4 linked regions of the Drosophila melanogaster genome follow. The protein of the gene in region 3 purifies or fractionates together with the protein of the main gene of each other region. This does not show direct contact. Each region holds a gene or a part of one and is shown on either strand. Other genes may lie near its edges. The genes, in order: Rep, p115, Rab30 and Tbc1d8-9.

Evidence for each region.
Region 1: the proteins of Rab30 (region 3) and Rep purify together in Drosophila melanogaster (affinity purification with mass spectrometry, with the first as the bait; 2 studies listed by BioGRID). This does not show direct contact.
Region 2: the proteins of Rab30 (region 3) and p115 purify together in Drosophila melanogaster (affinity purification with mass spectrometry, with the first as the bait; 2 studies listed by BioGRID). This does not show direct contact.
Region 4: the proteins of Rab30 (region 3) and Tbc1d8-9 purify together in Drosophila melanogaster (affinity purification with mass spectrometry, with the first as the bait; 2 studies listed by BioGRID). This does not show direct contact.

Annotation. Positions count from the first base shown.
Region 1 is NT_033778.4:19,489,209-19,495,819, reverse strand, and holds Rep (Rab escort protein), read right to left. Parts: upstream 3,734-6,611; 5' UTR 3,597-3,733; coding exon 3,548-3,596; intron 3,489-3,547; coding exon 2,403-3,488; intron 2,346-2,402; coding exon 1,945-2,345; 3' UTR 1,695-1,944; downstream 1-1,694. Other genes in the region: hpo (hippo), read left to right, coding at 1-359, 417-1,138; Oseg6 (outer segment 6), read left to right, coding at 4,084-4,244, 4,308-5,033, 5,108-5,720, 5,779-6,355, 6,411-6,611. UniProt on the Drosophila melanogaster protein: Binds unprenylated Rab proteins, presents it to the catalytic component B, and remains bound to it after the geranylgeranyl transfer reaction. The component A is thought to be regenerated by transferring its prenylated Rab to a protein acceptor.
Region 2 is NC_004354.4:7,890,521-7,898,236, forward strand, and holds p115 (p115), read left to right. Parts: upstream 1-3,510; 5' UTR 3,511-3,606; coding exon 3,607-6,117; 3' UTR 6,118-6,471; downstream 6,472-7,716. Other genes in the region: Nek2, read right to left, coding at 1-979; ND-MNLL (NADH dehydrogenase (ubiquinone) MNLL subunit), read right to left, coding at 2,610-2,780; CG45089 (uncharacterized protein), read right to left, coding at 2,802-2,966. UniProt on the Drosophila melanogaster protein: Essential for maintaining the architecture of the Golgi stacks and for normal organization of the transitional endoplasmic reticulum (tER). Required for both the formation of the Golgi stacks and the maintenance of the individual cisternae.
Region 3 is NT_033779.5:7,027,698-7,034,595, forward strand, and holds Rab30 (Rab30), read right to left. Parts: upstream 4,910-6,898; 5' UTR 4,540-4,909; intron 4,481-4,539; 5' UTR 4,409-4,480; coding exon 3,737-4,408; 3' UTR 2,796-3,736; downstream 1-2,795. Other genes in the region: MME1 (mitochondrial magnesium exporter 1), read left to right, coding at 114-230, 291-723, 793-969, 1,030-1,202; caper, read left to right, coding at 5,268-5,321.
Region 4 is NT_037436.4:21,336,752-21,347,044, reverse strand, and holds Tbc1d8-9 (TBC1 domain family member 8/9), read left to right. Parts: upstream 1-3,328; 5' UTR 3,329-3,425; coding exon 3,426-3,469; intron 3,470-3,947; coding exon 3,948-4,114; intron 4,115-4,592; coding exon 4,593-4,851; intron 4,852-4,908; coding exon 4,909-5,470; intron 5,471-5,529; coding exon 5,530-5,678; intron 5,679-5,753; coding exon 5,754-7,149; intron 7,150-7,213; coding exon 7,214-7,431; intron 7,432-7,489; coding exon 7,490-8,175; intron 8,176-8,232; coding exon 8,233-8,321; intron 8,322-8,386; coding exon 8,387-8,692; 3' UTR 8,693-8,895; downstream 8,896-10,293. Other genes in the region: ebd2 (earthbound 2), read left to right, coding at 291-356, 970-2,007; CG32436 (uncharacterized protein), read right to left, coding at 2,383-2,937; Tsr1 ribosome assembly factor, read right to left, coding at 9,104-9,613, 9,670-9,936, 9,991-10,293.

The sequences.
Region 1 (6,611 bases), on a different chromosome or scaffold from region 3:
TGCCATTCGCGAGCAGCAACGCGCCAATCGCAGTTTTGGGGGCGTGTTGGCTGCTAGTCAGGCGAAGAGCTTGGCAACCCAGGAAAACGGAATGCAACAACACATCACGGACAACGCGTTTATGGAGGATCCAGGTACTCTGGTGCCGGAGAAGTTCGGTGAATACCAACAGAGCTCAGCCTCAGATGCCACCATGATAGCGCATGCAGAGCAAGGTGTGGATGAGGGCACTTTGGGGCCGGGTGGACTAAGGAACCTGTCCAAGGCAGCTGCTCCTGCAGCGGCCTCTTCGGCAGCATCTCCTCTGGACATGCCGGCAGTTGACAGCGGCACAATGGTGGAGCTGGAGTCGAACTTGGGTATGTAAATGATTTTGAAAGGGCTGGCCATTTGTTATTGTATTGTCTGTTATTCAGGCACTATGGTAATCAACTCCGATTCGGACGACTCCACAACGGCCAAAAACAACGACGACCAGAAGCCGCGAAACCGCTACAGGCCGCAGTTCCTGGAGCACTTCGATCGCAAAAATGCGGGAGATGGCCGTGGCGATGAAAAACCCATAGCCACAGAGTATTCTCCGGCAGCAGCGGAGCAGCAACAACAACAACAACAGCAGCAGCAACAACAACAGCAGGATGAACAGCATCTGGCAAGCGGGGCCAACGATTTGAACAACTGGGAGCACAACATGGAAATGCAGTTCCAGCAGATCTCCGCCATTAATCAGTATGGTCTGCAGCAGCACCAGCAGCAGCAGCAAGTTCTGATGGCTTATCCCCTGATGAACGAACAACTCATCGCGCTCAACAATCAACCGAATCTGCTGCTCAGCAACGCTGCGCCAATGGGACAGCAGGGAATACCGGCAGCGGCTCCAGCTCAACCGCCGCCCGCATATCAGAATCAGCATATGCATACGCAATCGCACGCCTATGTTGAGGGTGAGTTTGAGTTCCTCAAGTTCCTTACCTTCGACGATCTGAACCAGCGGCTGTGCAACATCGATCACGAAATGGAGCTGGAGATCGAACAGCTAAACAAGAAATACAATGCCAAGCGGCAGCCAATTGTTGACGCCATGAATGCAAAGCGCAAACGCCAGCAGAACATCAATAATAATCTGATTAAGATATAGGTAAAGCAACTCACAATTTCGCAAGACAACTGATTATGAAATCTCAACTCACTCAATTGCCTCTACATTGGGTTAAGTTTGCAGATGAATACTGAATCTTACAGACCCATCATCTGTATCCTCTAGAAATTATTCGTGCATTGTGCAAATTTAACCTGGTGGAAGGGTCTAAAATCAATCACAAGAAATGAAAACACAAAAGCTTTATTGTAAAATGCAGTGAAAACAGAAAAGAGGAGTCATCGGCAGTATCTTCCAGCACGAAAGCATATTTTCTGTTAGATTTCATCAAATTTATGCTTGGTTTCTTATATCCTAGCTTTCATTGATCTGTCTTTTAATATAAATAGGTATGCTCGAATAAAATTTATCTTGCGTTTATTGTAGCTGCCCGTATTGTGAACTGCCCAGGCCTTATCATAATTTAATAAGACTTATAATATTCGTTCTTCCTTGGTAACTATTAACCTTTATCTCTAAAACACTTATTTTCTGTCTTCGTGCGATAAAAACAGTAACCCGTCAAGCAATACTTATAAAGGAGAAACATTTTTATACGCATTGGAATGCATATTTTTCGAACATATATTTATCAAAGCAAAATGCACAGAAACACTCACATTTAAACATTTATATATACCTAGTACTTTTAGCAATTATAAATAATTTACATAATAAATATATAGGAATATATGAATCAAAAAATTGCATACAATATATAACTTATTCGAAAGATACTTAAGAAAATTTTGTAATAAGTAATGATATATGTAGACCAAGGAAACCTCCTTTTTATTTTAGTATGACTACTCTTGTATATCCATTTCCTGAGTTGCCTGCTGCATGTCGTGCAATTGTGCCCGCAAATCTTCGGGCAAAGTGTGCTCGTTCAAGGCACTAGGGTCTTCACCATCCACGACAATCTCCTCTGGATCTGGGGCTCGTGGCAAAAAGTCGGCATCTGGGAACATTTTGCCAAATATGTCGCGAGCATTGGCAATGGCCGCGTCATAATCCAGCTCGTAGGTAGGTGGATCGGTGTAGTAAATATGCTCGGCAGCGGGACTTTTACTAGACTGGGCAGCAATTGTGAAGTATGAGCTAAATATTATTTGTGCGTCTGATTGATCGAAGAGTTGGCTAGTGAAAATGGCTAGATCAGACGCTGGATCCTCGCTCAACGCTGGCGTGGTCAGATGGAAGATATCTGTAAAAATTAATTCATTAAAAAGGAATAATTCACATATTTTCTTAAGTTTCTTACATAAACCCTCGGGACAGGCTCCCGTGTAGTGCGACAGTTGTATTAGGAAGGCTTCCCGTCCACCTTCATTGTCAAGTAGTCGAAGAAGATTTACACCACCACCTCCCTTGTTCAGCTCCTCATTGCCCAGGGGACTGGACGATATGAACAAGCCACGTGAGATGTGCGGCTTCAACTCGATGCCCTTTGAAACTGGTGTATAGCCAGGGGCAGAGACCACATTCTTGGCACGCAAAGTTTTCCCTGCGCTGCTCAGCAGGAACTCATTCGAATTGGAATCTAAGGCAATGTCGTCAACGGCTCGCTTTAGGCAGTAAATGCCACCATAAACAGCGCACAAACGGCAGAAGCACTGCGGCAATTCCCCGCAGCCATACATGGGAAAGAGAAAGGGTGTGTTGCCATAGCGGCCCAGACTGCCCAGAAATCGTTGTGTGCGCTGCATACCCTCCTCGAAGCTGGTGCTGGGGCCGCACATGGCAATGGCCTGCATCACGCACGACGATATCTTTTCGGTCACCCGCTGCGCCTGCAAATATTCCAGAAACGTTCGTCCCCGGAATTCCAACGAGTCCTCGTTGCACTTGTCCTCGCCGTAATCGTTGCAGGCGGTGAGAAATTTCATCAGCAAGCGCTTTTCCACGATGGTCAGTGTTTTGGTGTTGAAGACATCGCTACGGGAGCAGGGCACGGACACAATTTCACCATTGTGGCGCATGCACACATGGTCCACGGCTCGGAATTCAGCATAGCGGCAGATGTTCGACTTGATGAGCAACTGCACCAGCTCCCCGGCTGCGTATAAAATGCGCGGGCATAGATCCAAGCTGAAGCGTCGCGACTTGGCCAGCACTGAGTCCCTATTCCAGGATTGTGCATCTGTTTCTGATTCTTTTTCCATGGAATGCCAGGTGTACCTTGCGTTTCGCAATGCAGAATGAGGCTCGACTTCCTGGTCCAAGCGGGCACATAGAGCATCCATAGAGAAGGAGCTCCAAACATCCCCGTAGTACTCATTACTATCCAGGTGGAGCACCGATTTGCCTATCCTGCTGCCCGCAGCGGCGATGCAGGACTCGGTGAAGCCTGAAAAGGGCGTCCCTCGAATGACTCATCTGTGGTTCTTTTCAAATCTTCTTAATTACCTGTGCCTATGACGACCAGGTCAAACTGCTCCGGCAGGTCATCCAACATGTTCTAAGCCTTATTTGCACTGATATTTAAACTATATTTACGGATAAATAAAGTATTCCGTGAATTTATTGCGAATTTACTTAAGCAGCTGTTTACAGATGCGCAGCTAGCGATGACGTCATCAACAAACAGCTGTTCATAGTATTGGCTAACGAAACAAAACGTTATAAAGTTGTTTGAAATTTGAAATATAATTAAACTTTTGTAATTATTCCATACGGAGTTTAGCATTGCATTACAACTCTTTAAGCATTTAAATGTATTAAAAATTGTCTAATTCAATAGTTATCGCAGGCGTATTACAAAAATACTGAATTTCCCAATGCCCAAATCAACAGGTGCAATAAAAATGCACACATACAGGTGGGGGGAATTGTGCTTGTAGTTGTAGTCGCCGCTACCATGGAAACGGAAAATTCGTAAACAAAAGCCGGAAAATTAAAAATTGCAGAATGTACACTAACGCAGCAGAAACGTAAAGCCAATAATGTCCTTTGAAAAGATCCTTTACAAATATGAGGAACCGCACGGGATCGGAGATGTGTACTTCATTTGGCAGAAGGCTTTGCTGGCCACAACTGGTACCGATGGATCGGTGGCCCTGTACAATCGACAGGGCCAACTGGTGCAGCGCATCATACTTTCTGGGTGAGCTATGCTCAATCTCTACGTAATAATGAATAATGACCAGTAATGGAATCTCTTCTCCAGGCTGTGCTCAGGATTCGCCTGGGACCAAGAGGGTGACCTGCTGGGCATCATTACCAGTGGCTCCCCAAACATAACGTTGTGGGACTATAACAGCCAGGAAAAGATCAGTGTGGAGACGGGCCTTCGAGATCCCCTCACGTGCATTCTCTGGTCCAAGCAGCAACAACTACTGGCCGTCGGCACAGGACGCGGTAATCTGGCCATTTATAATCATAGCAGTGGAAAGCGACCCACACCGGTTCTGGGCAAGCACAGCAAACGAATCACTTGCGGCGCCTGGTCCGCCCAGAATCTGTTGGCTCTCGGTTCGGAGGACAAGAGCTTCTCGTTGAGCAACGAGGATGGCGACACAGTGCGCGTAGTCCAGCTAAGAGATGCGCCCACCGACATGTACTTCGCCGAAATGGCCAATGACGAACGTATTGCGGGGGACAATGCCATCAGCATGATCATCGGCAAGCGTACTCTGTTTCTCTACTATTTGCCCGAGCCCGAGAATCCTACGGAGCTGGGCTTCCAGAGCCGATACGGATCGCTGATGCAGCACAAGTGGTTTGGCGATGGGTATATCCTGCTGGGCTTTTCCAACGGACATGTAGTGGCCATCTCTACGCATCCCAAGGACGTCGGACAGGAGCTCTGGCAGGTGAAGAACCACAAGGACAGCTTGACCGGATTGGCATACTGCCCGACGTTAGATATAGTTGCCTCCTGCGGGGATGACAGGTAAGTACTTATATTCTTATCTATAAAACCTGTTAGGAAACATTCGTATGTTAATATTCACATTTTTTAAGCAGCATTAAGATTCATTCAATAACGAATCTCCAGGAGACTGAACGCATTATTACCGTGCCAGATCATGCCGGTGTTCAGATGATCGATTGGTCGCCCGATGGTCAACTATTGGCGGTTACAACAAACCATGGTACTGTGTACATCTATGTGACCAAGCTGCCTCATCTCTTCGCCGTCTCTGCACCTCGGATTGTGCTGTTGAGCAGTCTCGCCGAGGTGTCCATCTATGTTTACGCACCGGACAAGACAAAGTCGCTGCCTTTCCGCTTGCCTCTGGAGGGTGAGCCTACCTTCATGGCCGTGGGGCCATACAACTTTGCTACAGGAATTGAAAAGCACGTATGGTTTTATGATCTCGGGAAGAGTTTGGGCGAGGAGCCTCGTCCACTAAGCGAACGCGATTTTCCGCGCAGCGTGGAGAGCATGAAACTGAATGCGGACTACTGTGCCGCTTTGTGTCCACCACAACTAATCCTTCAGGCCATTGCCGCCGACAATCCAAACTGCAAGGACAAGCTGCAGGCGGTTTTTCCAACAGCTCTGCCCAATATGCCCAGTGATGCGGTGATCACGTGCTTTGCACTTAGCCAGGAGCTTCTGATTTTTGCAACAGATGTGTGTAGTTGGAAAAGTTGGTTTGTTCTTTGCATAATAATTTATAATATTATTCCAGATTGGTCACCTGGTGTTCTATTCCCTGGAAAAATGGGACAGCTGCACAATCTACAGACACAGTATGGGCATCCGGCAGCTCTTCATGGACATCGAAGGCACCAAGGTTATTTTTATAGATGATCATTCCCAGGGTTATGTTTTCCTACCTGTTGTCGAGGAGGCCCTCCTCATTCCGGACATTCCCAAGCAGTGCCTTGGCTGTCTTTGGGATCTCACGCAGCCGAATATCTTCATCAGCTACGATGCTAGAATCGTCAATACGCACGTCTTTGTGCGGCATTCTGTACAAGGGACACACACCCTGATGGTGGGTGAGTCCAAACTGAATCCGGGTCAATTTCCTCTGCTGCTCTGCGGCGGAGAAATGGCTTTGCATATAGATGGTGGCCAGTATGCCACACAGTCACTCAGTACCCACGTCGTGAATCCCAGCAACAGTCAGGCAGCAAATCTTCAGATGCTCCTGAAGCTGAGAAACTACGATGAAGCCTACAAGCTGTGCAAGCAGATGAATCAGAGCAGCGCCTGGCGGGAGTTTGGGGAGCAGGCCATTTCCGATCTGGAACCCGATATAGGTAACACTAATTTTCTTTCGTTTACATTTGAAATTAAAACTCCTTGTATTTGCAGCAATTCGAGCCTACCGTCAGCTTGGTGATGCTGCCCTGGTTAATGCTTTGTCTGAACTGCGCTACGTGGAGGATCTGGACATGCTTATCGGCTGCTGTTGTACACTCTTGGCCCAGTACGACCAGGCCAAAGAGCACATGTTAAAAGGAGTTTACACAAGAGCAGCTCTGGACCTCTGTCGAGATCTTCTGCAATGGGATC
Region 2 (7,716 bases), on a different chromosome or scaffold from region 3:
TGCTCGATAGCTCTGGATGAACTCCATCTTCCTCTTCGTCCTCGAAAAGCCTGGCACCCGAAGGCAGTGTGTAGAAATCCTCTCCAGAATCAACTAGAATTGGGAACTTGCCATCCAACTCGCTAATATTACGCACCACCAGAGGATGCCGAATGATAACCTCGATGCCAGGACGCTGTTCATGATCCACTGCCAGCATGAAGGCGATGATCTCCTGCAGATCAGTACTATAGATTGCCGGAATCCGACTGAACTCACCCTGGGCGATCTTCTCGGACAACTGGTCAAAGGCTCTGCCGCGAAACGGCGGTCTTAGGGCACACATCTCGTATACCAAACAACCAACGGCCCAGACATCGCTCTTCCGATCGTATTTCCTGCCCTTCACCAACTCCGGACTCATGTAGTGCGGAGTGCCCACAAAGGAGGCGGCAAAGCTCTGATCTCGTCGCAGCATTCTGGCCAGACCGAAATCTCCCAGTTTGGCATTCCCGGCCGCATCCAGGAAAATATTTGCTGGCTTGATATCGCGATGCAAGATGGTTCCGTTGGGGATTTTGTTGTGGCACACCTGAAGCGCCCGGCAAAGTTGGAAGAGCACCCGCCAGATGTAGGGCTCCTCAAACCGCTGCCTCTGGGATCTCGCTCGCTGGACAATCTGGGCGAGATCGCCGCCGGCACAGCACTCCATAACAATGTACACCGACTTGGCCTCTCGGTTCACCAGATGATGGTAGTATTGCACAATGTTAGGATGCTGGAGCTGCCGCAGAACACTGATTTCCGAAACCAAAGCGTCGCACTTGGCCTCGTCCAGTTCATCGTAGTTCATTCCCTTCCAGGCGAACAATTCACCGGTGCTTTTGTCGCGCACCTTGTAGCAGGTGCCGAAGGATCCATTCCCCATCACGGCCAAAACCTCGTAATCCTGCAGGGTCTTTTGCGAAAAGTCCATGCCGGCAGATTCCTCTCCGCTCATTTTGCCTTAAGTCTTTTTTTTACTCTTTGGGTATTTTGGGTATTCCGCCGCCGATTACAAATGATCCGCTTGCTACAAAACCCAAACACGATTTGAGACTGGTTTTTGGGATGCAGGATTTCTGGAATTCTCATTGCTACCTGCAAGAACGGGAGAGAGAGCAACAACAAGTGCGCGAGAGAGAGGTTTAAGTAGTGCCGCTACCCCGCTAAATAGGGCGGAAGAATGAATATTCTAAAAACAAGCTAGATTTGTAATTTTTACAAAATACATTTTGCAAATATGCAATCTAATGATATAATTACATACATAAACAAATAGCTATTTCATCATTAAATTAAGAAATTGTAATATGGATTAAAATACAAAACTATTTAAAAACCAATATACAAGACAACTACCGATTAAAATTGATAGCAGTCATTTCAACCTGACCTTCATATAAATAACCTCTCCATAAAACCCTTTCGCACCTGCATGCTAATGCCCAATTTGGCTATTTTCCCGCCGAGAGACACCAGCACTGTTATGTTATTGTTGCACGTCTGGATCTCTCGTTTCCTTCCAGGAACAAAGATCGTGCTATTACCCTCTCGCTCCCAACCACAGTTCAACGGTATCCACTTGCAAATCTCTGGCATCTCACCCTCTCGCTCACGCTCTCCCCCGCTGTGAGAGAGAGAAAGCCCTTGAAAGGCGAAAATCTGGAAAATCCGTTCCATTTGATCCCACTGCGCCTGTGTACAAACTACTGACCATTGGAAACAATGGTCTAGAGAGGGGCAGCACGCCCAAGAACACAATTCCAGCGATTCATCACGCTCAATTTTGGAACTCGAGCCCAAAACCGATCTTAAACCGGAATCCAAAACCGAGTACAAACCCCTAGCCCTGAGCCATAAAAATAAATTAGTTTTGTTCCATTGGCATTTCAATTTGCTGCCTTGTTTGTTAAAGTGGAAATGTCCTTATCGGATTTCATATTTCATATTTGAAGTGAGCGATTATCCATTCTGTCTAACGGTTTTTACTGGAAGCAGTTACATAGTACATATAGGCATGGTCGTGCAAATGAAAGTTTTTAGGGGGCTCATGCTTATAAAAGTTTTTTTTTTCTATTAATTCTTAAAAATCTCGATTCACATGTATTAGATAATTCAATGCCATTTAACGAAACTCATTTAAAAAGACTACTCTCGGTTACCACATTTCAAGTGATTTATGTGACATGCTCAAGAAGTTCTACAATAAATAATAAGAGTTTTGGTAGAATACACCAATGCTCTTCTAAAATATCCAGCCTACGCCCCTGATCCGAACTAAGCAGAACTCGCATATCGTGCAGCGATGCCCAGGTAAAATCCTTCGAAAAACGAGTTATCTCCTTGGATTTTTCATTGGTTTTCGGCTTATCGTTAGACGTGTGTTGAGGTTTTTATGTTTTTCCTGAGTAAAACAAACAATGGTACGCAATCCTTCACAAATAAATCACGTTCCCGACCGCAAATCTCGTCCGCTGGCCATGCAGGTAAACTAGACGACAGGCGTATTTCACATTTCTCCGGTTTATTGAATAACAGTGAATTGGGGGAAAAAAAATAATATTTTGGGATGGCGATGTTGGGCAGGCCTACCAGGATGGCGCCTTACCCTCGCTGCCGGCGGGACGGCCGTATAGGGCACTCTTGTCCCGGAACATGGTCATACGTTCCGTTTCCTTCTTGTCCAGGAAGTGGCCAATGGCAAATCCCAGCAGGGGCAACGCGCCCCACAGTGCTCGCTTATCCAGTCCCAAGACCATGGTGTATATTTGTGTATCCTCTTAGCGCTGATCCTTCAGCTGGGCTCGGTGTGCCAACTGGAGCTGCTGGCGTTTCCACTGGCGGGTGTGCGACCAATCTGCGTAAATCGATCCGACTGCAACAGTGGGAAAGAATATCACTGCGCCGTACTTTCGAGCCAATTGAACCACAATCCCACTGCCCATAGGTCTGCAAGACAAGCACAGGAGATGGCGAGATTTACATATGATTTACACAAATTGATGTGGGGATTGTTATGTTATGGGTTGACATTTTGCCGCATTACGTAATAAAAACGAGTGATTTCTCCCAGCGTCGTGATAACTGTGTTGATATTTTTGAGAACTTCTTACGCCGCGTGTGTGGAACGCTTTATATTGTATTTTTTGGGATTCTCTCGTTTAGTTTTAAACACAAATTTGCTAAATTAGTTTTGTTTTCAACTTACTTATAGCATCGATAGCACCAGGGCTGTCGAGTCGTTTTTAGTTTAATAAAATTTTGGCAGTAAGACTATCGCCGACAGGGATGCCACTCAGCTTAAGTCCCGACGTCAGCTAGAAAGTAGCAATATTTTATGTAATTCAAAAAAAAGTTTTAGATTATCAAAAAAGTGTAAATATAGGTAATTACACAAACATGGTCAAATATGGTAAATTGTAATTCTAAAAATATATTTAATATATTTAAAGACAAGCCGCTTATCGATAAGTGGGCGTCTATCGGACTTTAGCCATCGCTAAGCCGCCCGTCAATTGTTTTCATGAATTGACGTGTCTTGTTGAATGCGAAAAAACCCAGAATAGACCGTAAACACACACTCGCATGGAGTTCCTGAAGAGTGGCATCAAAACGGTGCTGGGCAGCACGGAGCCGGGTCAGCAGCCGAGTGCCGCCGAGACGGTGGAGAAGCTGGTGGACCGTGTCTACTCCTCAACGCTCCTGGAGGATCGACGGGATGCCTGCCGAGCGCTAAAAGCCCTGTCCCGCAAGTACCGCATCGAGGTGGGCGCACAGGGCATGCCTCCGCTGGTCCAGGTGCTCCAGAACGACGGACAGGATGCAGAGATCATCAGCTATGCGCTGGACACACTGTGCAACGTGGTTACTAGCGAGGAGTTCGACGAGGAGGCTGATAATCCCACCGTTTCGGTGAATGTGGGCGAGCAGTTCACGGAGATGTTCATCAAGACACCGGAGCATGTAACCCTGGTAATGGGCTATCTGGACGAATACGATTTTCGAGTGCGTCGCGCTGCCATCCAACTGATTACGTCCCTCATTTCGAACAAGACGCGGGAGCTGCAGGATTTGATTCTGGTCAGTCCGATGGGCGTTTCCAAGCTGATGGATCTGCTGACGGACAGCCGCGAAGTGATTCGCAACGATGTCCTTCTGCTGCTTATCGAACTGACCAAGGGCAACTCAAACATCCAAAAGATTGTGGCCTTTGAGAATGCCTTTGACCGCCTTTTTGAAATTGTCCGTGAGGAGGGCTGTTCGGATGGCGGAATTGTTGTGGAGGATTGCCTAATTCTGCTATTGAATCTTCTCAAGAACAACTCCAGTAATCAGCAGTTCTTTAAGGAGGGCAGCTATATCCAGCGATTGTCGCCAATGTTTGAGCTCTCACAGGATGCGGAAGAGGTTGGCTGGTCGCCACAGAAGGTCTCAAACTTCCATTGTCTGCTGCAGGTGGTGCGGGCACTGGTCACGCCCAGTAATCAACAGCAGGTGGTGGCCGCCTGCCAGCGGGTCATGCAAAAGTCTCGACTGCTCCATGCTCTTTGCGAGATTCTGATGAGCAGTGGTGTCCCTGCGGATATACTCACGGAAACCATCAATGCAGTGGCCGAAGTGGTGCGCGGCGATCGGGACAACCAGGATGAATTGGGAAGAGTTATGGCTCCGAGCAGTCCACCCAGACCTGCCATCGTGGTCCTTCTTATGTCCATGATCAATGAGAAACAACTGCTGGCACTGCGTTGCGCCGTACTCTACTGTTTCGAGTGCTTTCTTTATCGCAATGCCGATGGCCAGCGGGCGGTTGTACAGACCCTGCTGCCCTCCAGTGCGTCCGATGTGAGTGCCCTTTCGACGGGACAACTCCTTTGCACCGGACTCTTCTCCACAGATGCGCTTGCCAACTGGTTCTCCGCTGTGGCCCTAATGCACTCACTCGTAGAGAATGTCGCCCTAAAGGAGGAACTACTGCGCGTACTGCTGGCCACTCCTGGTGGCCAAAAGCCTATCACGCTACTCGAGCAGTGCACTAATCTCATGCAGCAGGAACGCTACCGTTTGCAAAGCAAGGTGGGTCTGCTAATGCTACTCAGCCTGTGGCTGGCGCATTGTCCAGGTGCGGTGAAGGCTTTGCTGGAAACGCAGGGCACCATGGCCTACCTGACCGCTCAACTTTGCTCCAACGAGCACGATGAACGAGAGTTCCTTGTCCAGGGCATGTGCGCATTCCTAATGGGCCTGTGCATCCAGTTCAATGACAACTCGCTGCCGGGGCAGAAGCGCGAGGACATCAGTCAGCTGATCATCAAGCGAATTGGCCAGGAGAGCTTCTGTAGCAAACTAGCAGAAGTGTCGCGACATGAGGCCTACAGTCGGGCATGCAAGCAGGCCCAGATCCGTGCCAAATCCGCTGGGGAACTACTGCTTGACTTCGAGTATTGCAAGCTGTACAAGGGACTGGAGGCGTTGATTGCCAAGCTGGTTAGCGGATTTGATGTAGATGGCATTGAACTGACCGAACTCACGTTGAGCTCGGAAGCTTCTGCATTGGTTTCCCAGTACAAGGGGATTATCCGCGGCATGGATGCCCAGATCCAAGCACTGCAGCAATCCTCCAAAGAACTGGAACAGGAGAATGCCGAGCTGAAGGAGAAACTTGGTGAGGAGCAGTCGCTCAAGGCGCAGCTCTTGGACCAGAACACGCTGCTTAAGGCACAGCTGGGAGCCTCGACCGGTCAGGTGCAGTCCGCCCAAGGTGCGGAAGCCACGCCGCCCAACGAGGAGGAGCTAAATGCCGCTCGCTACCAGGCCAACATGTACTTTGCCGAAAACATTCGTCTAACTAAGGAGCTGGAGACACTACGTCAGCAGTTATCAGCCGAAAAACAGAGTGCAGATGCGGCGCAAGATTCCCTGGCGGCGATGCAAAAGGATCAAGAAGATTTGCTCGAACTGCTGGCCGATCAGGAGGCAAAGCTAACGCGATACGAAGAAGCGGGCTCGACTAATACCCTTCCGACTTCCAATGTAGCTCCAAGCGTGCCGGCAGCTGGCGGAGGAAGCCCCATCCCAAGTGGCACCGCCAGCAGGTAGAAATCGTAACGCGGATGAGTTGCTAGCCACGTACATGTTACAACTGGAAATTGCTCGACTGCCCTAAAAACGTTAAAATATCTTATATACACACATTCTACTTGTTTTACATTTATTTAACTTACGTATAGAATATATGTCTAGATCAGAATTTAAACGAATCCATTATTGTTTTGGCGGGAACTGCAGCAAATCGCAAGAGATAGCTACATATATCGGCTCACGATTTCCTGTTTCCATCTCTTTCCGATTCCGATTTGCCCATATAATGGCTTATGTTGGAATTCGAAGATAGTGTTTGTTCTGCGTTTATTTGTTTAACAATATTAATATACCTATGATTGGGTAAATCGTAATGTTGTAAAAAAAAAACCATTTAAACAGTTTTTCGACCTTCCTTTCTCAGAAAATAATAAATGGCCTTACTTTAATTGAACTATTTGTCGGAACTGTTGCATTTACCTGGGGGAAAAATAGATTGAAATAATTAATTAAAAATCAAAAATATTTTTCAGCGTTTCCGCTGGCACCCGATACATTAGAATAGATATCCTAAAGCTTAATTAGCTCAATCGCTCAATATACATAATTGAACACAACACACCACATTCTATACCATTTATCGCGTTTATTTAACAAAAATGGTTATTGTGATCAACATTCAGTTTCTGCTTAAACGAAGAATGTGGGTTCAGAGTCTGCGGTATTTACTTCTTGCCGCTGAAGACAGAGCTTTTCGGCTTGCGAATGGTGACATAACGGCCGCGGTTGGCCTTGGACTCCTTCTTGCGCTTGACCAACAGTTTGACGTATTCGGCGATAGCCTCCTTGGTTGCATTCTGGCGCTTCTTCTGGTGCCTGCGCTGCAGCTTAACAGGGATGACCTCATCATCTTCCTCGCACAAATAGTAGATCTTGCTGATGTTGCTGGAACGCACGGGTCCCAGGCGACATGGGGAGGGATTCTTCTTGAGAACGACCAAAGTCAGCGCGGATACGTTGGCTTCCACGGTGTATTTACGCACAGTCTTGCACTTGCGCACTTTATTGCAGCGTGGATGGAAGCACGAGTGTATCTTCTTCAGGAGACGCAAACGGCCTGTTGGAAAAGATGATTGTTTTTTTAAGTAGTTTCTTGAGAGGAGTCCATGGATGGATGTGTTTGCAAATACTTAAGGAAATTTATTATACCAATTGGATGCTCAACTTTGGAGCGTACTCCAATCACATATAGTTAATTATTAGCTTTTAGCAACTGGAAATATTCGCTTTGTATTGCTCAGAATGGAAGAACTCACCACGAATATGCACATAAGAATACACAGACGATTTCATATTTAAGGTATGTTCTCTAGATATATTATCACAAGACTGATCCAGGTTGCTTGGCTAATGACAGAAGAAGACAAGCAACCTCATGACAGAAGATACCCAGGTTGCTTAGCTTATTACAGATGCTTAAAAGGGTTTCCATACGGAACATAGAAATCTACACATGGGACCATTATTGCTTTAGCGGGGACTGCAGCAAATCGCAATAGATAGCTACATATATCCGCTCACGATTTCCTGTTTCCATCTCTTTCCGATTCCGATTTG
Region 3 (6,898 bases):
GATCACCAAGCGATAGCGTTCATCAGGAAGCCAGCGATCTTCAAGCACGTGCATTTCGTTCAGAAGCTGACGGAATTTCTCGGCGTGTTTACGTAAATAGTTAAAATTCAGCAATGGAGGAGGTCGAAATCAGCACAGAAAAGAAATCCAATCCCGTAAAGTCATTTATTGCGGGCGGCGTGGGAGGCATGTGCAATGTGCTCGTTGGCCATCCATTGGACACAATAAAGGTGAGCTTCAAAACTGTGTTTACAAATGGAAACGATGTAATGCTTTAAGTTCCACTTTAGGTCCGTCTCCAAACCATGCCCACACCTCCACCTGGACAGCCGCCGAGATACAAGGGAGTCATAGATTGTGCCGCCAGGACATTTCGTTATGAGGGTTTTCGCGGATTCTACAGAGGAATATCCGCTCCACTTGTGGGAGTAACACCCATCTATGCCGTGGACTTTGCCGTCTATGCGGCGGGTAAACGATTGTTCCAAACGGATGACCACATTAGGCTCACCTACCCACAAATCTTCGCCGCGGGAGCCTTGGCCGGAGTTTGTTCTGCCCTCGTCACAGTGCCCACCGATCGTATAAAAGTCCTTCTGCAGACGCAAACCGTGTCCAACGGACCTCTGCTCTACAATGGAACCATTGACACGGCCGCCAAGCTATATAGGCAGGGTGGCATTCGGAGCCTCTTCAAGGGAACATGCGCGTGCATTCTGAGAGGTCAGTTGTTAATTAATTGCTTAATATTATAGTATATATAATAGTTATGGATAATTTTAAAATTTACAGACTCGCCCACCGGTTTTTACTTTGTGACCTACGAATTCCTACAGGAATTGGCTAGAAAGAAGTCCGCCAATGGAAAGATTAGCACCACATCAACTATTCTGTCCGGCGGAACGGCGGGCATTGTGTTTTGGACTTTGGCCGTGCCGTTCGATGTACTTAAAAGCCGTCTCCAGTCGGGTGAGTCATCCAATCGCCAATCGCTTTAGTTACAATGATTTATAAATGCCATATTTTTAGCACCTGAGGGAACATACAAGCACGGCATTCGCAGCGTTTTTAGAAACCTCATGGCCACAGAAGGCCCAAAAGCTCTATTTCGCGGTATCCTGCCAATTCTACTTCGTGCCTTTCCCTCCACCGCAGCAGTTTTCTTCGGCGTGGAGCTAACCAATGATTTGCTGAAGGCTTAAATTTAAGAATTTGTATTTCAGAGAGGCTGTTTAGAATATTAAATATTGTTTACATATGCGGTTGAGTTTGCTTTATTTGGATTTCTGATATTCTATAAACAAAATGTTTGAAATATTAGCTATGCGCAGTAACCGAGGGATATTAATGGATTTTTAAATATAACGCCAATAATTGGTATCCGATTTTAAAAGTTAAATATATTTTACTTTACATGCTAAAGTATCTTTACGGTTTAGCTTGGCTTACATTTAAAATATACTTTACTTTACATGCAAAAGTATCTTTACGTTTAAGCTTAGTTTCGATTCATTCCAATTGGATGTGCAATCGAAAGCTTTTAAGCGGAACGAACAGATCGACAATATTAGAATTGGAAGTGCAGCGAGATAAGTACTACTGCTTTTAATCAGAAAACTACTTGCGGAGAAAGTTGGACGCTGGCGGGTCGCGCGTTTACTCCTATTTCGTTCAATTCGAATCGATACCTTTAAAAACACACCGGCTTCTGTGCGAAAAACATTTTGGTGTTTCCTTGAATATAATACGTTTCCTGAAAGAGACGTTGAAAAAAAACACTTGGAAAAACGGCGATAGTTTTTCAAAACTATTATACGCCCTGTATTTGAATGATCTGCCCGAGGAATTGGAGGGCGGAATCGACATCGATGGCCGCCGTGTGAATGTCCTAATGTACGCTGATAGGATCGCAATACTTTCCGAAAGTATTGATGATCTTCAGGATATGATCAACCAGCTGGAAAAATACTGCACCAAATGGGACATAGTGGTGGACATGGACAGGTCGTGTATAATGGTCTTCAGGAGAGGTGGACGGCTTGCATTGACTGAGAAATGGTTTATAACGGGAAAGGAGATCAAAACCACAAGCACTGCAGAATTTCTCGATTTTTTGCTCACAACTACACTCAACACTCCAGAGATACTCCACATAATAGATTGGAAAAATTGGATGATTAGAGAAGATTGATGAATCTATACTTGCTGCAAATGTGGGGATACGAAAAAGTAATGCAATTCAAAGCTCTGCAAGCGTTTTATTTAAAAAAAAAAAACCACTTGTTTCGAGTGTCCCAACCCTAATAATCTGATAAGAGATGCATTTGCAGTATATTAAAAAACTTTATTTTCCCACAATGAAAATTCGATCGGCCGATTTTTAACTCTTAAAGTAATGAAGAAAAACATTCTGTGGGCTAAAGCACTTAATAATATTTGCAGTACCTATAACTTAAGGTGGAAGAGCTATTTGAACTCAGAATCGGAGTGGAACGATTTTTGCACGAAATTATTAAGGTGGTTAGTTAGATCCTGAAATCGATGGGATTTTTTTTTTTTATATGCATTATTGTACAAAATACTGTTTTAAAAACATTTGTAATTATTTATCGGCTAAAAGTTTACATTCCAATTATTGTGATATTTATATAATAACAAGATATATATTGCAGCTTTTTTAATCAACAACTTTTTCCGCATTCGTAAAAAGTTGATATACTTAATCAACATATTTTATATTTTACTCAGCTGTAAATTAATCAGCTGTAAATTAATTAAACACTCTTTTCCATTTTACTTGTATTTAGTTTATTTTTTATTCAGCTTTCTGGTCTATTCATAGTTTCTAATTCTTAATTTTTGGAATGTCATAAAATCACCTTAAACACTATTACGAATATCATTTAAAAATTGCATTACCAAAGATTGCACATTAATCGTAAAAATATGTAAAAATAATTGCAAATAAATATGCATAAATTGTGTATGTATACAAAAAATGTAATGTATAAAACATGCAATACTCCTTGGGAATTAATTGAAATAAACTAAATGGTGAGTCTAGCATTTTTGATATCATAAATTCTTCGTAGCATTGGCTGTGATGCTCACTTGGTAAACGATCCATAATCAGATCAATACATACGTCTATATAATACAAATCAAGAAAATCAGGCGGTCTTAAACACCTCCAATGGAGTTCTTGTAACACAAATATTTAGCATCCTTAGTCATTGACAGCTAGTTTCCCATAGGATCTTAATCGTGATAAATAGTAAATTAGTTTTTACAATCAATTTCTTTCTGTAAACCAAAGGGGATACAGAAATAATCAATTTTTTTAGTCTTGTAATTAAAATAATAAACCCTTAAGCATGAACAGAATATCACGATAACAGATAACAGATTAGCTGCACAGTTTCCAGATCCGTTTGCACATTGTACTTTAAATGTTTGTTGTTATCGTAGTTTAGTGAAAGCGAAGAGAATTGCTCTAAATACCTTTACATTTAAAGGTATTTGAAGCCGATGTGTTTTAACAATCTAATAGGAATCGTTACAAAGACAAAGGCAAACGATCACGTCATAATCATGCTTATAAAAACAAAATTTAACATATGTATGTATGTGTTAGAATGTGGGAGCATTGTGGTAATAAAAGATAAATGGAATATCACGATTAGTCCTTAACAAGTTACAGATTAGCTGCTCAGCTTCCAGTTCAGTTTGCAGCTGCTCAGCCGCCTTGACTAGAGTTGGAGCCGCCGCTGGCGAGTCCGCCACAGCAATTGCTCTGCGCTGCCTTGGCACTGAAGCTCCCCAGTCCGATGGAGCTGCCCTCCGACTGACGCTGGGCGGCTGCCGCTGCGGCCGAACTACTGCCATCCTTGCTCCTTGCCTGACCAATCAATTCGGCGGCAATCTCGTAGAACAGACGCTCTACATTCTCTGCCTCCTTGGCGGATGTCTCCAAGAAGTACATGTCATGCTGCTTGGCGAACTCTTCGCCAATCTGGGTGGGTATCTCTCGATCATCCCTGTCCGTCTTGTTACCCACCAGGATTTTGAGTACCTTGGAGTTGGCATACTCCTGGATCTCGCGCAGCCAGTCCGGCAGGCAGTCAAATGTGGGCTGGCAGCTGATGTCGTACACCAGGATCAAGGCGTGAGCCGATCGATAGTAGCTTTGCGTGATGGATCGGAACCGCTCCTGGCCGGCGGTGTCCCAGATTTGTAGCTTGATCTTCTCGCCCTCCACCTCCACGGTCTTAATCATGAAATCCACACCAATGGTGGCACCCTGGCCAGGTGGAAATAGACCCTGAGTAAAGCGGCGCACTAGGCATGTTTTTCCAACACCAGCATTGCCCACCAGGACGATTTTGAACAGGAACTTGTAGTCCTCCATTGGGGATGTTGCCAAAAATGGGTTGGTTTTGGGGTTTTTGAGTCGCTGGGTGTGGGCAAGTGTGTGTGTGCTCTGCGAAAGTAGACGAAAGTTAGTCGGAGCTTAGACACACCTAGTCAGCGACGCGTAACGATTATACTTTGCTGGCTGGTGGTGGTTCGTTGGATCAGCTTACGCCATCCCCAGCGAAGACAACGCCTCTCACCTGTGGCTCACCTGGGGCTCTATCACTAGCTGGCCAACGGCTGTTCGCCTTGTTTTTTGGCTTATTTGGCTAAAAGATGATGACTCAACAGCAGCTGTAGATGCTTGTTACTCGCTTATCTATGCGAATCGGCCCCAAATCTATTCAGCAGGCTTTCGGCCAGGTTGACTATGCTTGCAAATTTGTAATCAACTGGTTGCATGCTGCCGCATTAATTGCCAGCCTTAATTTTGCTTATGTTTACCAACAGAATTTTACTGTATTTCGACGTGATGGTATTTGATTAGAGATGTGACATCAATTCCCATAGCAATACTTAACGATGTTTTTCTCGGTATCGATAGATCGACGTTTTGCAAAGCACTTAAAAACTTTTTGAAGTACGGTCACTAGTTATCGATTGTTCATCATCGATAAGTTCTGTGACAACCCTGAAGCCGAAAACAAGCAGCCACGCTAGAGAAGAAAATCTGGTTGAAAATTGGCAAAAATTCTAATTAAAAAATCGCAAAAGCCAAAAGAGAAGTTCGTAAGTCGTCCTACGAATTCCGCTGTGCGTCCCCACCACATTTTGATTTCTCCAAACGTGCCAGACACCGAGCAGGGGACTTTTTTCACGGAGCACCCCGAATTGCAGCGAAGTAATTTTCGAATATGGCCGAGGACTTTGATGTGGAGGCGATGCTCGAGGCGCCGTACATGAAAAACGTAAGTTCCCAAAGGCCGGATAACAGCCAACTATCGTTTAAATTAAGTCCCACTGGCTTTTGTGCCCACCCAAGGCAATTATTTTGCTGTGCAAAAACAAAATGAAAAAAAATAGAAAAACAGTTACTTCATATGTATGTTTGTATACTTCTTTTCCCACATAGACACCCACAGGCGTACGTGCATTTTGTGTTTGTATGTAAGTCGTCTTCGTCTCGGGCACACACACACACACACACACATGTGCAGTCGATGCATACTAAGTGGTCTTAAATCGATTTTTAGCCTAATTTTGCTGTTTAATAAAAAATCGGCAGCCGGAACGCCAATCTGCGTGCTGATTTTCGTAATATTTTTTTTTCACACTAGACTGCGTTCATACAGAAAAGTGTTTCGCCAACGGAAAATCTGTCTGTGTGTGGGTTTGTGTTGTTTATTTTCCTACGCGGCATTTGATACAGTCGTGTACTGCAGTGGGTGTACAGTGGGGTGCAAAATATTTGGCAGGGCTGCAATAGCAACTGAAAACGTTTAACAAGTATCAGGGAAACTTAAAGGATTGAATTACTAACAAGACAGTCATGATTCTGTAAACTATAAAAAACAACGTATTTTAGTGATATTTTATATCTCTTACTAAACTTGGACTTTAATCTGTATTATTGACTGAAACGGATTTTGTAGCAATTGGTATTCCTCTTATCTTATCTGGGCAAACCATCTGTAATAATATTTATTAATAGGTTAAAACTCAGCCATATGAAATCATACTTGAAAAATCTCAATATATTATAAAATAATTTGTAGGTTAGCAAACCACATTTTTCCGTAGCATTTACAAATGCAATTTTCGGTGTGTTGTGGAATAAATCTAATAAAATTATCATTAATTAACCCAAAACCAAAATCAGCATTATTGTCCGACAGCTCGCCAAGGTTTTAGTCAATGTAGTAGTCTATGACATCCAGCTAAAGTTGGAAATTAATTGAATTGAATTCTTTCGCCCCAAACCAACAACTCATGAGTTCAACGCTCCTATTTCTTCCTATCTGCTGTCTCACTAAGAACTACCGACAACTACCCACACACAATCACCATTAAAAAATACAAAAAAAAAAAAAAAAAAAAAAACCAAACAAAAATGCTAGAATAATTCTTAAGGGTGAAATGTCTTTGCAGAGAATCGAATAAGCTCAATATTGTTGCTAGAGATTGTTTTGGTCATTCTAAACACAAAAAGCTGGAGACCATTTGGTAAGTTTTGAATGTGCCAGAAGCTGCGAAAAAAAACCAATTACAAAATTACAAAACAATAAAAAAAAAAAACCAAAACATATCTAGGCATTTTGTATAAAATATGATTTGTTTATGTTTGCGTTTTTTTTTTATGAACACAATCCAATTGAAATCGTTACCTTACTGCTCTATGTAAACCAATGAAACTGAACGTGCACTAAATTTCAGATATACTCCTCCTAACTTGTCTGGGGCAGCAGGCAGCACTACTACTACTCTCACTCACAGTCAGACAAGAATGAAAGTATCGCTCAAATTACAAATTACAGATTTACGATAA
Region 4 (10,293 bases), on a different chromosome or scaffold from region 3:
GTAAAAAGTGACTAACAAACGCTTAGCCATTTGCATCAACAGTATTAATATTGCTTTTATTTCTGTTTTATTACGTTTTCTCTGTAACAGCTTCAAAAAGGAGTCTCGCACGAACACATCTCTATCTCCCTCTGACGCATGATCTAAGTGGCGCGAGAGCGGAACGACTACAGCCGTAAGAGCGCAAGAAGCTGCTGCGCAGTTATCGGAAAAGAAGAAGTGGAGAAGGAAAAGAAGGAGAACGGAAAGAGCAGAAACCTAGTTGCAATTGACTTAACACAACTATTGAAATGGCTGCTATTGCCGCCCTGCCAACAACAACGTTGCGGCGCAACAACAACAACAACACCAAAGGGGTAAGTAGTCGCAAAGGGACAAGGGACCAGATATGTCTGTTAACTTGGCCCTTAAGCGACCCGCTGAGGGTGGATTTTATAACGTGTCTCGAGTGGACACGCGGCAGTTACACTAAACACGTGTACACAAGCATATGCATACATATGTACATGTATACCGCACACATATCGTACATTCATTTACCCTTGAGCTGCGTGGCTTGCAACCAAGGTCCTTTACATGCACACCCTTTGCATGATCGAAACGGAGGCCGTTAATCCCTTAAGGCTAGCTTAGTGTTGCAGTTCGTATAGGCCTCTGTTTTCATTGTAATGCCAAATTCGCACTATGTTCATATACAACAATAATATTATCTATAAAAATGTACAAATTCTATAGAGCTTATTGGAAAAGAAATATACGTATATATATATATACGACACTGAGAGAAAAAATTACTTATCCGCCCAGTAACACTTCTGCATGGAAATTTTCGACAGGATATAAGAGGTGGTCAACAAATGTGGCTTGTACCCTAATAGTTGCAGATATCTAATAATTTATTAAATTGCTTAAAATATATTTAATACTAATCTTAGGTTAATCTTATACTCTTCCCTCTCTATATTTTAGATCAAATCCCGTCGCAATGAGCGTAACATCCTGACATTCTACGAAAAGATTGCCGTAATCCGTTACTATGACGAGACCAACATCTCTAGGAACAGTCTGGCCAAGATGTTCCACTGCTGCGCCACCCAAATACGTAGAATCTTGGATAAGAAAAAGGATCTGCTGCAGCAGTTGGCCACCTTAAGCGAGGCAGATGCCTCCATTATAATCGAAGAGATGACGCGCAAGCGCCGCAAGTTCGAAATGAGTGCCATCAGCTTCCTACTACACGAGTGGGTGGAAAGGTGCATCCAAATGCAGTTGAACATCAGCATAAGGAACCAAAAACTGAAGGAAACCGCCATCCGGATGGCAGCTGTGTTGAACCTGCCATCCTTCAGACCATCCTATCGATGGCTAAGCCGATTCCGCAACAAGTACAAGTACGAGGCCGATGAATTGGGCTACCAGGGCGAAAATCCCTTGAACCAGGACCTGCCTGTCGAAGACATCATTGTGGAGTTTAAGCATGCACTGCCGAACTTCATGCAACGGGAGCTGGATAATCCAGGCGAAGCAATCTCAAAAGCAGCTGTTATGGCAGATTTTGTCAATCTCTCCAGCGAAAACAGTATCATGTCCGATCATCCAGAGGGGGATAATGAAGTGGAGCTGGTAACATGTGAGCCCACCATGATGTCCTCACCATCCAGCACACCAGATGCTGCAGAGGGGGAAATACCTCTGCAGGCACATGGCGACCAGGAAAACCCGGATGATCAGATTAACGCTGGAACCAGTACTCTTCTGAATGGGGTTTTTCCGCATCTAGCCATTATCCACCAGTTCGCTCTGATGAACTCGGATGTACAGGCATTGGAACTTATCTCCCAGCTGGGAGTGCACATGCAGCAACAGGCTGTTTCTGGAGCTTATCATAACCTGTCGCTGGCGACTACCGATGGAGATGGGCAAGACGATCCAGGAGAAATCGCTCTTTCGGAACTGCCACCGGGAAGTATTTACGCCGATATCGATGACATCGAATTGATCGAGTAAAAACATCAATTTATCAAAAGGTTAAAGCTAGTCTAAACTTATGCCTCAGCGTAGTCGACTGTTATTTATAATCAACAAATCGTTTTGTTATGAACTTAAATGAGTTCATTTCACCAAAAAAGTACTTAAGGCCTTCGACTTTTATTAAGATTAATTCTTAAAACAACAACAATAAGAGATCTACTTCATAATTTAGTTTAAATCAAATTCGATTTGATTGATTAAAAGGTTAATAAACCAGAATTGCTTATTATGATCATGTTAAAATTTAATAATCCGCAGATAATTTGGAAATGGTGGTAATTTGGGATACGTAGTTTATACGAATCGAGAAATATTGTCTATACCAAGTTTATAAGCTATATCTAAACATACCATGCGTTTGTCCGGAATAATTATCATATCAGAACTGCATTCTGGAGTGGCTAGTTGTGGCTTGACCTCGCCCTCCTCCTCTTCCTCGCCCTCCTCCGCCTGTTGTTCCTCCTCGCCCATGTCCATGGGACTGTTGAGGACGACGAGATCTTTGGGACATGGCCTATCGACCCTGGCGTCGTGCTCGACGAGTCCAAAGTCCTTGCGCGCGGCCAGAATTCGCTCTCGCATCTCGGCATGGGTCTTTAGCTCCGCTGGAGTTCGTTGTGGCACGATGCACATGGTTAAATCGTCGTAGAGGTCACATTTCTTTTTATAGGGCTTTGTGAAGCGGGATTCCTCCGCCTTGTGGTGGATGCGACGCAGCTCATCCTCGATGGTTAGCACTTGGGAGATCGTGGAGTTGGGTGGCTTTTTCTGACAGACGCGATCGCGGGGCGGACAGTTCTCCGCCTTCCATTCCGGCGACGTTTCGTTGCCCAGAAAGGTACGAATCTCATAGGGATTGTTAGAGGGACTGCACTCGGCGTTCACTTCCACGAATTTTTTCAACATTTTTGCAAAACACTGACGATTTTGCAGGAGTTGAGAATAAAACTAGTAATTTTGTAGCACGACACGTTCGTTGGGCTTTGAACTTGTTATATAAATGAGAGGTTTCAGTTTCGATTTAAAGCTAAAGGCTAACTATGTAATTTATATGGTAACTTTGCGTAATATTAAACTGTTAATAATGAACATTTTCTGTTTCTCTATTCGGCTTCTAAAAGCCAACAAGTTTTTAAATTGGAGAGAACATATTTCGCTTAATTGAAGTTAAGATACAGATTCATATTCTTAGGTTTAACTAAACGTTAACTATTTGATTCAAAAATCGGACGCAGAGTGCACCCATTCACAATAGATTGCTTAGTTCTTTGTGCGTTTTGTGCTTTCCAGCCAACGGGCACACTTGCCACAAAAACAGCAATCAGCGCTCGATGCAGAATTAAACAAAGAGTAATTTTGTATTTAGAGCCTGGCACGGGCTAAGAACAATCAAAATGTGGATTCAGCCCAAGGAGCTGCTGCTTCCCTCGGCATTTTGGTGAGTTATAGCCCAAGTCCGCAGCCGAATCGAAGGATTGCCGAAAATCCAAATTAAACACGGCTGCATGGGTGTGTGGGTGAATTGGAATGGACGGCATGTGTATATGCAATGTTATGTTTATGGAAGACATCTCATGGAATGCGATTATCGCGAAGTGCAGGCGGAATGGGGAGCCGCCGATCACGTATTTGGATTAGGCACAAACGTCGTACTTGCAGCTAGCTAGTTGAAATGCATTTGTTGATAACTAATTGAGCCAAAAGTTCAAGACTCCAACTCTTCAGATCGCTGGTTCTGATTTCGAAACGCAAAAAGTGCCAGCTGTGTAAAGTCAGCTTGAAAATTGATTTCCAACTGTTTCCTGCTGCGTAGAAAAGTGCAGACACCGCCCTCTAGAAAATAGCCCCCGTTAAGTGGGGCCCTCCCCCCTTGATAAGCCGACTCTAAAGGTGAACACCATAATTTTCGCCCACAGGATTGCCGAGATGCACTCGAGATACTTTGTCCTGCAGAAGAGACGTGGCCATGGGGAATCACGCGGATTCGGTTCCATGTTGGTGGGCACCTACGACAGCGTGATGAACACCAAACCGGCACCCTATCGCATCCTCCACCAGACGCCCTCGTCGGAGGTGTCTTACGGTAGGTCCAATATCTCAGACTCATCCGCTCTATCAGTTCCAGTACCTCGGGTCTATTTCGTATGTCCAGCAATCGGTGACCGTGAATCATCGGGCTTTGACTCGCATTTATGGGAGTATGCCAATATTTCTTTCATCTACGGTTCCCTCGGCGCTTACGTAAACATGGAACGGAGCTGATTACAAAAGCTGCGGAGGCTGGATCGTTCCTTTTGTTATTCAATTTATATTATATTAAGAAAAGAAGGCAACTGACGGAGTAGGGTACTTGAAAACCAGGCATTTTCATCTCAACATGCGCAAGGCGCTGAAATGCGTGTTATCCTAAAGTTTAGTAAAAAATGTTTAAACTAATTTTTGGTATCTTACTGTGCCTGTAGAATAATTAATTCCATATCCATATTGTGCTGATATGGTTTTTAAGTCGTGTTCTATAGATAAAAATATAAAAAAGATTAACAAGAATCTATTCCCTACAGAAATCGCCATTGGCATTACCCAGGATGAGATTGTTAAGGATTGGGAATGGCTGAAAGCTAATCTCTTTAAAGTGCTGGACGAGATGGAGAACGAGGACGAGGTGACCAACTTTACCATATGCAAGATCCAATCTTTGTACACGCAAAACAATCAAGATGACACTGGCGAATCGGCCGATTTCAAGGTTATGAAATCAAAGTTTAGACAGATTTTCAAAATGCCCGAGGAAGAGCGATTAGTTATCTCTTATTCGGCCACGTAAGCATATGTTCAGTATACATTAAAGGTCCATATTTACTGAATATTGAATTCCAGTTATGTAAAAAACAAGATACCAAGGCAGGGTCAGCTATACATTTCGCTAAACCACGTCTGCTTTTACTCCTACATGCTGGGTCAAGAGATCAAGCGTATTATACGCTTCGCAGAGCTGGAAGACATCAGCCGAAATGCGAATACCATCTATCTAAAAACCACCAATAACATGACCTACAACTTTACAATGCTCTTCAACGCCAGCGATGCACACTTATTGATTGAGCAGCTCAACAAAATGGCCATACAGCAGCTAATCCATGATCCAGATAGTCCTGTGGTCGACCACGATACTTCTAATTTCTCACGGTTGGGTTCCAAAACGTCCAAGAAACCAGTTCTACTGCGGGATTTGACAGCTCGCCAAAAGTCCGAGGAGTTTCGTATTTACTTTCGATTGCCACAATCGGAAATAATTGACGGAAAGATTAAGGCCAATATCTGGACACCTTACTCAAAACGATTTAATTCGGGCTTTATCTACTTATCGCCGAATTTCTTTTGTTTTCGTAGCGATGTAAAGGATTTGGTCAGCGTGGTTATACCCATGAAGACCATAAAGGTTCGCAGACCATAAATGTACTCGATTTCGATAAGTTTTAATTATTGTTTGCACTCTAGAGCGTTGAAAAGAAGGATGATGGCCAGCAACGTTTCGAAAACCAAATTGTAATTATAACATCGGAGAATGTGCCTTTCATGTTTGCTCATATCGTGGACAGAGCTGTGTTGATCTCCAAGATCACAGACCTTCTGGCTCGAGTTCATGTGTAAGTGTTAGATTAAAAATCTATGTTGCTATACTTACATGTATATATTGATCCTAACCATATTATTTAACGCAGTCCTTTGAGTCGCGAACGCGCTAAGTACGACATTTCGTGGAGCAAGCAGACCGCTCTGATGAACACATTCAAGACACAGTTCAGCGCAGAGATCATACAGAAGCAGGAGGAAAAGATGGTGCGCTGGGAGGCGCATTTCCGGGACTTCGGACGGGGCATTGGAATGTTCCGCACAACGGACGTGATAAATCTAATAGTGGAGGGTATTCCTGACAAACTGCGCCAGGAGATCTGGCTGATATTCTCGGGGGCAATCCACGACAAGGAGATGAATCCCGGACTGTACGAGGATCTCGTAGAGAAGGCGGCTTGCATAAAGAACTGCTTTGCCCACGATGAAATTGATCGGGACTTGCCGCGTTCGCTGCCCGAGCATCCGGCATTTCAAAGCACCGATGGCATAGGTGCTCTGCGGAGAGTCCTTCAGGCCTATGCGCTGCGGAATCCACAAGTGGGCTACTGTCAGGCCATGAATATTGTGTCGTCGGTGTTCCTGCTCTTCTGTGATGAGGAGAACGCATTCTGGATGCTGGCCAGCCTGTGCGAGAACTTACTACCGGACTACTACAAGGATAAAGTGGTGGGCGCCCAAATCGATCAGGGTGTGCTTAATGAGCTAGTGGAGACGCATTTGCCTGATTTGCACGGCCATCTGGAGCAGTTGGGTGTGATTAAGATGATTTCCATTTCCTGGTTCCTTACCATCTTCATGAGCGTGATCAGCTACGAGAGCTCGCTGCACATCCTGGACTGCTTCTTCTACGAGGGCGCCAAGATCATTTTTATGATTTCACTGCAGATCATTGAATGGAACAGGGACAAACTGTTGATCTGCCAAGATGATGGCGAAGCCATGCTAGTTTTGCAGAACTACCTGGAGGGAGTCTACAATCCAGAGTACCAGGTGCCTCCTACGACGGACAAACGGAAGATGGAGCGTAAAGTCCAAACACAAACAGTTCAGACCCTGATCCATGAGGCATACACAAAGTTCGGTGAGGATATCACACAGCAGCGCATCGAGGAGTTACGCAACAAGCATCGCCGGTTAACGATGCGACAGTTCGATATCGACAACGAGAAGACCATTGTCAAGGCTTACGTCCAGAATCCGTATTTCAACCGCAGTGAACTGCATATGCTGCTCACTATCATCCGGGAGGAAAAGCACGCCCTTAAATCCCTGCAACAGCAGCAGCAGAAGGTTCAATGCCCGTTGTCTGAGACTCCCCAGCTGGTCCCTCAGTCGACAAGCAGACCGATCCAAGATGCCGGCGCCTCCGGAGGCAGATACGAGGCTTACAGTGTCAGCTATGAGGTATTCCACACACTTTTTACGGAACTGACACCCTGGCGTAAGTGCGTCAGCGTGGACATTGGCGAAAAATTGTTTAGGGTATGTTAATGATCTTGGAATAAGAATTGGCATGAATCTATATGTCTCTGTTTTCGTTTTCCAGCTTACTGATAAGAAGGGAACTGGTGTTCTCGACTTCGGACAGCTCATCAATGCATTGGGCCTGGTCTGTTCCAACAAGAACATGGAGAAGCTGAAACTCCTCTACGTTTTACATCTTCCGCCCCTATTGTCCAAAGCGGAGATTGAACGATCACGTCGCCCGCGCCCACGCACAAAAGATGATGCCGAGGAGGCTTTCGAGGCGGAGGATTTCTTTGAGTGAGTGTTTTCTGAGGCCCAAACTATAACGAACTAAAACCATGCATTTCTTATTTAGTAATGACGCCTCCGAGTCGATGGAAGCGTTGCCCTCGCCCTCGGATCACAATTTTGATGCCGATGACTTTGCCCTGATTAGTGCCACCCAGCATCTGCACAACCTGGCCGGAATCTCGGGAAACACATTTATGGACCTGTCACGCACTCCCAATCTGTCGGTGAACTCTAACACCTCCTCGTTGGCGCATCGCAGCTCAACCTTCTATGTGGACCTGCCGGGATTCCAGGGTACTGCCACATCCACAGATGCTGGGCGGGACGAAGACGAACTCCAGCGACAGCTTCGCCAGCAGGGCCGTTACGAATCGATTGACACATTTTCGGATATTTCAGATCTGGGAGCGGCACGCATTACGCCGCCCGAAGCGGGAGTGGGAGCTGATGTGGTAGCCGGAGCAGCCTCGTCTGCGGCCGCTGATCACATGCTTCTCAATGTCGAGACTATATCGAATTTCTCACAGATCAGCGACCTTGTTGCGGCCACACGTCTAGAACGTGTTGACTCGAATGCCACGGACTTGCGAAGCTTGGGCAGTCTTGGCTATCTGCTGGACCAGCCGGACGAAGGCGCTTCAAATTCGCAACACAGCATTCCCCACATGCGTAAGGAGAATTTTCAGCTGTTGTGGCGCAGTATCATAGAGATCATGGGTCTGGTCCAGGATGAAGAGATGCAAAGGGCTTGTAAGTATAGCCTTTAAAACGTGAAAGTACCATTCAAAACTATTGTTCATTTTTTAGATGAGAATCTCTTGGAGCTTGGAAACAGCAATATTAAAAAGGAGCCCAGCCTGGAGAGCTTTACCCAGCTAAATATGGGTGGCGATGAGGTATGACTTGCTTTGTCTTTTCAAAGATTCCCAACAATCAAAACAAAACTAAATTTTTCTTTCAGCAACCGGATAGCAATGGCAATCCCACCACTCCTGCACCAGAACCCATTGGCACTACCCGTCTATTTGTGGCTCTAGAAGAGGAGCTTCGTCAGGCGAGCGGAAAGTCCAGGACCACAACAACAAGCAGTGGGGACAGCAGCAGCACTAACATCTCCGAATCCTGGCACATATCTATTACCCAGTTTATCGCCACGGTTCTGACTGTCAACAGCATTGTAAGAGGTTTCCAAACACCAATCCAAATAAGCGAACAGATCGAGCAATTGCAAAAGAAGCGTCGCAAGTGTCTGTCCACCAATTACTGAATAATCATAGTCCCATCCCTGCCCTATGTCCTGTCCCCCCACAAAACTGTATTAGCCATATTCTATGAGAACCTGACCGATTCTTTATCCTTGTGCAATGCGACAAGCTTTTAAACGTATCCATGTTATATGTATGTATATTGTATTGCCTCTACCATTAAGTTAAGACAATTGTTTGTGAATATAATTCTATTATTCCTATTATACAACGCAGTCACATATAAAAAATTATCGATGCGGGATTTTTGTGTACATATTTTATGTACTTTTCGGGTGACATTTCCCGAATGGACACTTCGTAGGTTTCATACTTTTAGAGGTTTAAATGTAACAACAATAATATAAACTCATTTCAGAAGTTATTCGCACTGTCCATCGATCACTTATTTATCCATCCATTTGCACACACCTCTACTCTTCCATGGCCACTTGCTGCGAGCTCCTCCTGTTTGCCGACGCATGTTGTCGCTCGTGCTCCGCCGTTCGCACCAGACACTCTTCGTAGGTCCATTTGGGGAAGACTCTCTTGTACAGGTACATGAAAGCAGTGTCGTAGGATCGCAACTGCCCATCAAAGTAGCACTTCATGTGGCCGTGCGTGCCCAGTGACTCCTTAATGTGTCCCAGCCGTCCGCACTTGGTTCTTAGTTTCACAGGCTTGAAGTACTCCACATCCTCCTTGTAGAAGAACATGTAGCGAATAGAAGCCGACTTGCGATTGATACGCATGGGATGACCGCTGAGAACAACGCGCTTGAGAACAATACGATCTGGATTGCAGGACAGCAGGCGTCCACGGGCAACCAGCGCCAGGGTGGAGTCGGGATTCACCTTGAAGGCCAGCACGGGTGCCGGAGGGAACTGAATCGGTGCGTAAAACGTGGCGCAAACTGTTTCGTACGGACGGAAGTAGCGTTCGAACTGGATAAACATAATCCATTAATAAATAGTCAATTACAAATTAGTCCAAATATTACCTTATGCTTATCCCCATTGGTGTGCTGACTGTAAATGGGATTCACAACAAAGCGACGATAGCCGCACTGGATTATCAATTGTTCTTTAGACTTCAGCGGCACCTCCGAGTCGGGCATTCGCTGCAGTACCACGTTCATTACGCACATCTGGTGCTCATGGGGTAGCATTCCATATACAATAATGTTGTCCATAAGCTGGGCGGACTTGAAGGCATTCCAGCGGCTCTCAGGAACATTTATCACATAAAGAGTGACGTATAAACCAGGCTGAAAGCAAAAACATTATAATCTTATAAAACCGAATTTTTGGAAAATCCCTACCAGAACGCCCTCGAACTCCTTGGCTTCATTAAGAATCCTACGCTTGGTGCGGTCGAAGTTCTGGAACTGATAGATGCGAGCATAGTCAGCGGGAAGATTCTCCTTGGCATCCCAAGGCGAAGTTCGGAAGGACTCTAAGCCGCGATATTTCTGGAACCTCTCGCGAGCGGGCACATCCAAAGGAGTGTCTATCTCATCGGGCCAAAGCTGATCCGTGCGTGCTTGCTGCAGCTTCTTCAGGGTCTCACGCTCCTCCTGGAAGTCCATTTGCTGATCGTACTTTTCGTCGTTGATGGCAGCCTC